Styela clava: one gene and its partner. The protein of the gene in region 1 purifies or fractionates together with the protein of each later gene. This does not show direct contact. Links are inferred from orthologs where the notes say so. Each region holds a gene or a part of one and is shown in the gene's direction. Other genes may lie near its edges.

What was found.
Region 2: the proteins of ATP-dependent RNA helicase DHX8-like (region 1) and nudC domain-containing protein 1-like purify together in Homo sapiens (affinity purification with mass spectrometry; 3 studies listed by BioGRID and IntAct, counting the BioPlex papers as one, with this or other methods). This does not show direct contact. The link is inferred for Styela clava from reciprocal best matches to the Homo sapiens genes DHX8 and NUDCD1.

Annotation. Positions count from the first base shown.
Region 1 is NC_135250.1:15,238,784-15,242,718, forward strand, and holds the start of ATP-dependent RNA helicase DHX8-like, read left to right. Parts: upstream 1-881; 5' UTR 882-980; intron 981-1,975; 5' UTR 1,976-2,010; coding exon 2,011-2,104; intron 2,105-2,641; coding exon 2,642-2,797; intron 2,798-3,285; coding exon 3,286-3,414; intron 3,415-3,935.
Region 2 is NC_135256.1:18,148,862-18,152,796, reverse strand, and holds the start of nudC domain-containing protein 1-like, read left to right. Parts: upstream 1-1,103; 5' UTR 1,104-2,170; coding exon 2,171-3,935.

The DNA of each region.
Region 1 (3,935 bases):
ACGGCGGCGAGGAGTCCAGCCATCCTCTCGCACATGATCATCCCCGCATGGGATTCGAACCTGCAATCTCACGAAGGGTAATCAGAGATGCGGTGGCGAGCGTATTCCTGACCCTTAGCACATGCGCCACTCAGCCGAGTAAGATTTAGGTAAGTTAACCGTACCTGAACTGTGCACCCCGATTTCCCACGAATAGAGGTTATAAAATTCAACCTTGTAAAGTTGTATATAACAATAATCTATAATTCTATATGACAAATTAAGAAAATTGAACACTGTTGCCAGGTTGCCGTATGGATTATCTGGAAATAACGTGCCTGATGCTGATGGAACTAGGGTGGTGTAGCCAATCTGCGGACGATTTCATTCAAACCGCTATAAAACAAAAACCAATATTTCTAACCCGTTAATTTTTTCACTGTAGGTGCATCGGCATTTATTCTACAAGCTAAACCTCGAATTAACTTTCTACGACCAGGGGTTAAAGCAATACAAACCACCAAAGTACGACACTCTGAAGACGTATTTGCGACCGAACGACCAGTGTGCGACCACGGCTTTCAAGCCTTGAACATCGTTTCTGCTGCATCGAGACTAGGGCATACGCAGCCATGCCCACTTTAAAGATGGTAAAAAGAAACACAACTCTATCCACCTGCCAAGTTTCATCTCTTTATCTCCTATATTTGTATGAATTTTCAAGCTTTTTAAAGGAACAATGGATAGTTGGCGACATGGGAAAACAGTCCGTTTTTTTTCTTCGGTCGGGTTTTCGGTCGTAACTTTTTTTGTTGTGGCCGCATTTTAGTGTAATTTCGCAGAGCTACGAGGGATAAGTGGACGATAACCACAGAGATATATAAATATATTTCCAGTTCAGTGACGATAACGCGTGAGAAATATCGTCGCGGCTCGTTAATTTTTTTGGCAGTAATAATCGATGAAGTGATGGTCGCAAATAGGTTGTGGCCGCAAAGTGGGTAAGCCACCGTACCCTGATGTTATTGATTTAAGTTTTTTATAGGCCCTATGTTTGTTTGCTTAAATTCATATTAATTATGTCTGTTTGTGTAACCAAAATTTTACCTTGTAGCTTATCAAATTTTTATTCGGTTTATCACAGTAGACCTATACAAATTCAGGTATAACAGTATAAGGATTTGATATTGCTGTACTGAAACCTCAACATGAAGATGCTTTTGTGACATTACACAAATAAAAATGATTTACTCTAGCGTTCCAGAATTACTCTCCAAGTTCATTCTTCCATTTTGTGAATATAATTTTAAATACTAGAATCAAGTTCATGCTTCCTAAAACAAATAACTAACTAATCCCATACGGTATCCGACGTGGAATGGTACCCGGACGTGAGGCCATGGTTTGCCATGTCAGCATGTGGTTAGGGGGGGGGGGGGGTAATAGACTTTCCTCTCCTTCCAGCTCTTTGGATAAATATGTAAATCCAGATGTTCTACCTCTTATTTAGTCATCTGAAATTGTGAATGTTAAACTCTGTAAACATAACAGCATGAAAGAGGGAGTTGACTTTGATGATCGTCTGGTCGTATTACTCCCTCCTGTCTACTATTACTAATTGATTGTTATTATTTTTATTAGTACGATGACTGTTATATTATTTTGGTTGACGAAAAAATAAAATCCCTCTTTCTCTGTCCCATTAGAAACTGAATAATGAAACCTCAATACAGCAATACGAAGATAACACTCGTGACACTGGCAGAAGGAAGGTCTATAAATCTGATACTTGTATAGAATCAGAGTTATATCGTGTACTTGACCAGACCGTTCTCTTTTTCCCTTCTTCTTTACATACCAGATGTACCTTAACTAAAGCATCTTGGCTGTATGGTTTTTTGCTTTACAGAACTGCAGAATTACGCCAAGAGCTGCTGACAAACTGCACTATGTAATACTAACTGTAGTAATTTTTGCTTGCATTTTGTAATTTCAGAATTTAGATAATTTTGGGACCATCTATGCAAAATTATGGATGACTTGGAAAAACTTGAATATCTTTCTCTTGTGTCGAAAGTTTGTACAGAATTAGACAACCATCTTGGAATGAACGATAAAGATTTAGGTATTGTAGTTCTTTTTACATTCTTATGTCCAATTTTCAGTAAGCATCGATTTTTTCGACACATTCTAACATAAGTTTATAAGTTCAGTAAACTTGGTGGCATCTCAGACATTTTTATTAACTGAACAACCTGACACATTAGCATGTTTCTGTGATGGTCCAGTTGTTGGTGTATAGCATAAGTTAGGTGTCTTCGTACAACAAAACCTTACCGAAGGTTAGAAAATAAAAAATCAGGCTTGTAAATTTTTTAATTTAAAAGTTTTTGGATATTTTGAATACTTGACAGTGTCGCTGACACTATGACTTTGGTGGCCTTTTGCGGCAATATTGTATGTCTGTTTATTTCAATTTTTATTTTTAATACTATTTCTGATTAATTTTGTTGTTACAATATATCTTGGACAACAAAATAAATATCTGAATTCATTAATATAAAGCTTACTTGCAAGCATTTTGGCTGATTGGGAGATTACAAGTTCATTGAATGCATAGTCAAAGAAACTGAAGTAAAATAGTTATAATATTTCTATTTAGCGGAATTTGTCATCAATCTCGCTGGAAAACATGTCACTGTCGAGTCATTCTCATCGGCATTAGCTAAAAATGGAGCAGAGTTTCCACATTCTTTTACAAGAAATCTTTTGTCTCTTATACATAGAATGAGGCCACCACAAAAGAAAAGAAAAAAGAGTATGTCCATCATTCATATATACTCTCGGTTTTTGGATGATTCCGTAATGTGGCGTCTAATAGACTGTTTATAGCTTGGGTTTGGTTATTATTGAGTAACTGTTCGATAATAACTGAATGTCAATAGTATGTGTTAAATGAATATTGTCCAAAATGGCAGAGACTAATTATTCAGCTGAAGAAATGATGACCAGGTCGTTGACAACTGTAGAAAATGTTACACATCTGAGCAGTTTTGTCAACATAATTTTTGTGATTCCTAGAATGTTGAAATATGTTGTTTCTGTTTGACATAAATTTGTAGATTTGTAGTTCTTTTTTCTGAATTGAGACCATAAAATCTTTAGGTTGTAGAATCCATGTCTCATGTTACTATGAAATAATTGCGTTTGTACACCAATTGTAGATTTTTTTCATTTGTTAATTTCATACATTTGAAACAATTCTTACTGGCATAATATTTGTAAACATTTATATTTTCCTTTCAGATAAAAAGTTAAAAAATGATTCAAAAAGCGATGGGAATGACAAAGGACCCGATTTTAACAGACATAAGACAATGTTTCCAGCATTATGCATTGCTGATGATAAAGATTATGTCAAGAATTTGTTATCAGGTATTGTATAGACTAGGCTATTCAAAGGTAGTTTATCTCAATTTAATAAAGATGCTAGCCAAACAAAACAGCACGGTAATATTTCAAAATTAAAACACAAATGAACGAAATACCATCATCGATCGAAGTCACTCCGAATGAAAATAGCAGTTGTGCCACCACTTGCAATCCTGACTTTCTTTTCACTTGTCTCACAGTAATATGGTTGATGAGTCGACTGCCAATGCCTAACATGCGTAGCGGTACACGGTGCATTTTTAATCATGGCAACAGTCTGCAGTCCATGCATTCTTCAGAATGGTCGCATACACGCATAACTCAGATCGCACCAAAAAATTGGCTCATTTGCGCATGACTTTGATCCCGTAACGAGATGATATCAACATCAGTAATGACACAATATTCAAAATCAGCTGATAAATAAATTATTCAAATCGCATTACCGAAGAATTGCCAACTGTAGCAACATCGAAAGAATGTAGCTTGTAAATATGTCACAAAAGGGCATTCTACGACGTTTG
Region 2 (3,935 bases), on another chromosome or scaffold:
TGTTATTTTCTAGCCCTGCAGGGTGTGGGGGCCTTACACAACTCTACCGGAGGGTCAAATGTCTTTGCATGCCTCCATAGGTTGTTTTTCTATTGCAAAAATTTATGGAGTACTCTAATTATATTTCTTGGAATCACACGGTCACTGATATGTCGCCAGACTTCTGATATCTCCCCTTCTGCTATAGTTGTCCTGTGAATAAATAATAGGAAATTGAGATCAGACGAATAGTTGAAACTTTTGCTTTATGTCGGCTTAATTTCTTGATTGATATACTTACTATTTTTGCTATTGCCTCTTGTGCTGCAGGAGTTTCACAATGCTTAAACAGGTTTGTCCAGATTCACATCTGAAGAAGGAGAGGAGATTTATTAATTTTCGTCAAGAATAAATGAAGCAGTCTATATGATTTAGAATGGAAAAGCTAATAAGGCCAACATCTCATGTTTAATGTAAAAAATGTTATATTGAATTTGGTATATAAACCAACTAATAAAGGAATTTAGTCAGAAAATTACAAGCATTCGTGGCTCCATATACTTGAGAGATCAGACTATACAATATAGACCGGTATGAGTGAAATGTTAGGTGAACTTGTTAACCCTTTGATTCAATCCTCACTGATTAAAAAAAATCTAAATGGAGGTGCATGAACTATTTGAAACCATAAGAGGTAAGTAAATATGCAATTTTGGCAAATGGGCAACTACGTACCGTACTGAATTATTAACTTCGTAGTATTTGACAAAAGCTGGCTTTCCCACAAGTACTTAACAGTGCGATGCCCGGATGTGGTATACAACAACCTCAACTTTCCAAAATATCAATAAAATCGACAACAACTGTCAAAGCCGGCACGAACACCATTCGTGCTATGCCTTGAAAGCAGCACACATCCGCTCGTTTTCGTCTCGTCAAGTATGTGCATTGGAGCGTGCTATCGGATACGATCTTCGGCCAAAAATGCCGTAGTTGCGCATCATGTTGTTTAATGTCAGTGCACCAAGCGAAGCAGTACAGTAGGACACAAAATGGCGTCCGATGTCCACAGAACGAAAACAAATCTCACAGAGCTAACAGAAATATTTAAAATTGGGAAAATTTTTATCTCCAACCACTGAAAATTTCAAAGCAATTGGTCCAGTATTCGAAGAGAAAAGCGGTTTTTTAATATTTCTACTAGGTGTGTTATTCTGTGTCAAACAACAAGAACAACATAACATTGAAACGATCGTTATGTCCACTACGTGTCCAATAAGTAAACGATTTTTGTTTTCATGTCACCTCTTCGATGTATGCTGCCACTTATTGCCTACGTGACGCCACGCGTGCTGCAGTTGCTTTGTAGAAACAAAATTTTATTTTACCTGGACTATCGCGGTGGAGTCAGAAATGGAAGACGAGTTTGATGTAATTCTTTTCGGTGATTCACGCGAAAGAGATCGTGGGTATGTAGAAGGAATAGCGCACGGATCCAGAGTTGGAAAGCTGGAAGGTTTTTCAACAGGATTGAACCAAGGACGTTTGACAGCTGGAGAAATTGTTTTTTATCTGGGATTTTGTGAAACATACATTATGCAGCTGAAAAATTTATCGAGTAGTGCAAACTCAAATAATTTTAAATCTTCTCCCGACCAAAGTAAACTTACATTAAAGTTGAAAAACACAATCTCGCTTATAAACGAGTTTATAACCCTCTCACCAGAGGATGAAAAATATTCAAAATATATGAACGACATTCGAACGAATCTGAAAATTTTGTCCTCAAAATTGAAAGTTTCTATTAGTTTTTTAAAAAATTCTAGTGATGTAAATTTTTAATAGGAAGAAATAATATCAATTTTTGGCTATGCACTGTACTTCTTTTTATGATTGACTATTTTATGCCATGTCTGCATGTTGTTTACATGAAGGTGTGCTCCAAATCCTGGATATTGAATTTTAAAAGGATATGTTGTATCATATTTCGCTACGATGATAAATGTTACCTAATTTAACTATCTGCAAGTGTATATTCTCATTCATCGTTTTTTATCAGTGTTCACATTTAGTCACACAATTTTCGATGACCACTTGCTTGATTTTGTCAAATTCCTCACGATTGTAAGGTTTGGTTATCAGTGCAATTATGATATATTTTTAGTGCTCTTCAGTGTAAAATTATCATAAAATGGATGCCAAAAATATTAATTTGCGTCCTGACTGGAATTTATTGGATTCTACTTTTGAATCATATAAGCTGTCTCTACAGCAATTGCCGGTGTATCATGTAAATCCAGACTGTGAATTAGATACGGTAACTTTGGCTAATGACGATTTCTCATACAATCGAACAAAGGTTCTCTCCCTTCACAACTACTTATTTGGCGATCCATGGAATGAAAAAGAATGCTATTTTGTGGATAAAGCTGGTCATATTAAACGTTTGTCTGTTATTGTTGAGGCTTCAATAGGACAACCTCGATCAGTTTTTCAACTAGGATCTCATTTTTTACAAACTGAAAGGCATATGCCTGTAACAATATCTTTCCCCTCAGCTAATTTATGCTTGATATCTGATGGGGCAGGATTGGTATATCTTCTTGATACTGGGAACCGGCAAACTGATACAACTCAAAAAACAAAATGGACTATCTTATTAAGTGGGAACATAGTAGGTGAAAATTCGGAACCTTCTGTACTTCTGTGTTCACGGCAGCATTTTGAAGATGCAGAACCTGAATCTGGAGATCATGGAAAAAAAGATGTCATTGATATTTTGACTTTACGATTTCAGGATGAAAAGAAAGATGATGCCGTGATATCACAAGCTGTTGTGGAATGGACTTGGTTATTTCGATATGATGAAAAGTCCAAATTTGAAATTGGCGAACATAGAATGTTCAAAGGGAAACAAGCACCTTTCTATGCCACCTTGGGTGAAAGTGGTAAAGAATTATTCATCGGGTCACATTCACCAATGAAATATGCTACTGATTGGGAACAGCAGGTTTTGAGTGAAGAAATGGAGATTGAGAATGGAGAAGCTGCTGATAAAATGGACTCCGCACCAGAAAATTCAGAATCTCTGTATAAATGGACTCAAACAGATGAAGATGTAACTGTTATGATTCCTATGCCAGAAGGAGCAGACAAAACTTCTGTTGTATATGGCTTGTCCAAAAGTAAGTTAACTGTTGGTTTCAAGGATGCGACAGGAAAGATTAGTTATGTTCTGGATGGGAAACTATTTGTCGAAGTCGACCATGAATCGAGTAACTGGTCTGTTGAGGGCCAAACCTTGACCGTAACAATCTCAAAAGAATTGGAAGGCCAAAACTGGCCAATTGTTATATTAGGTGACACTAGTGGTCAGATGATTCCCAACAACGCAGATCAAGATGTTGACATGGAGACAAAAGATGAAATGGCAGATTTAGAAGCAAGAGGTTTTCAGCCTACAGGCCTTGATCACTACGAGGATTGTGATGACTTGCCTGATGCGGATTCAATGCTGTACATGTTTGATGCTACAGAAAACAAATTCACTTATGAAGCAGGCATAGCAAGTAATCAGTGGCTATTTAACTGTTACTATAATCATAAATTATGTACAGTGCTGCGACATGATATTGACGCTTTAGTATGGGAATCTGACACTCCCAGTGAGTCTTGTTCCAGTCCCTGGAAACATGTTGCAACATTCAATGCACTCGGGTACGTGAGAGCATCTAAAGAAGATGTAAAATATTCAGGATGCTCTCCGAATGCCTCTTATTCTGCATTATGTGAATCCAGCAGCAGGGTGTTTGTTTATCACAGCCCAACGACAACTGCGGCACCCCTTAAAAACCGAAAAACAGGCAAAAGCATGCATGTTTCGAAACAGCAAGTAGTCTCATTGCCTTCCAATGAACCGATACTTGGATTTCATGCATCTTCTGAACTTATGTTCG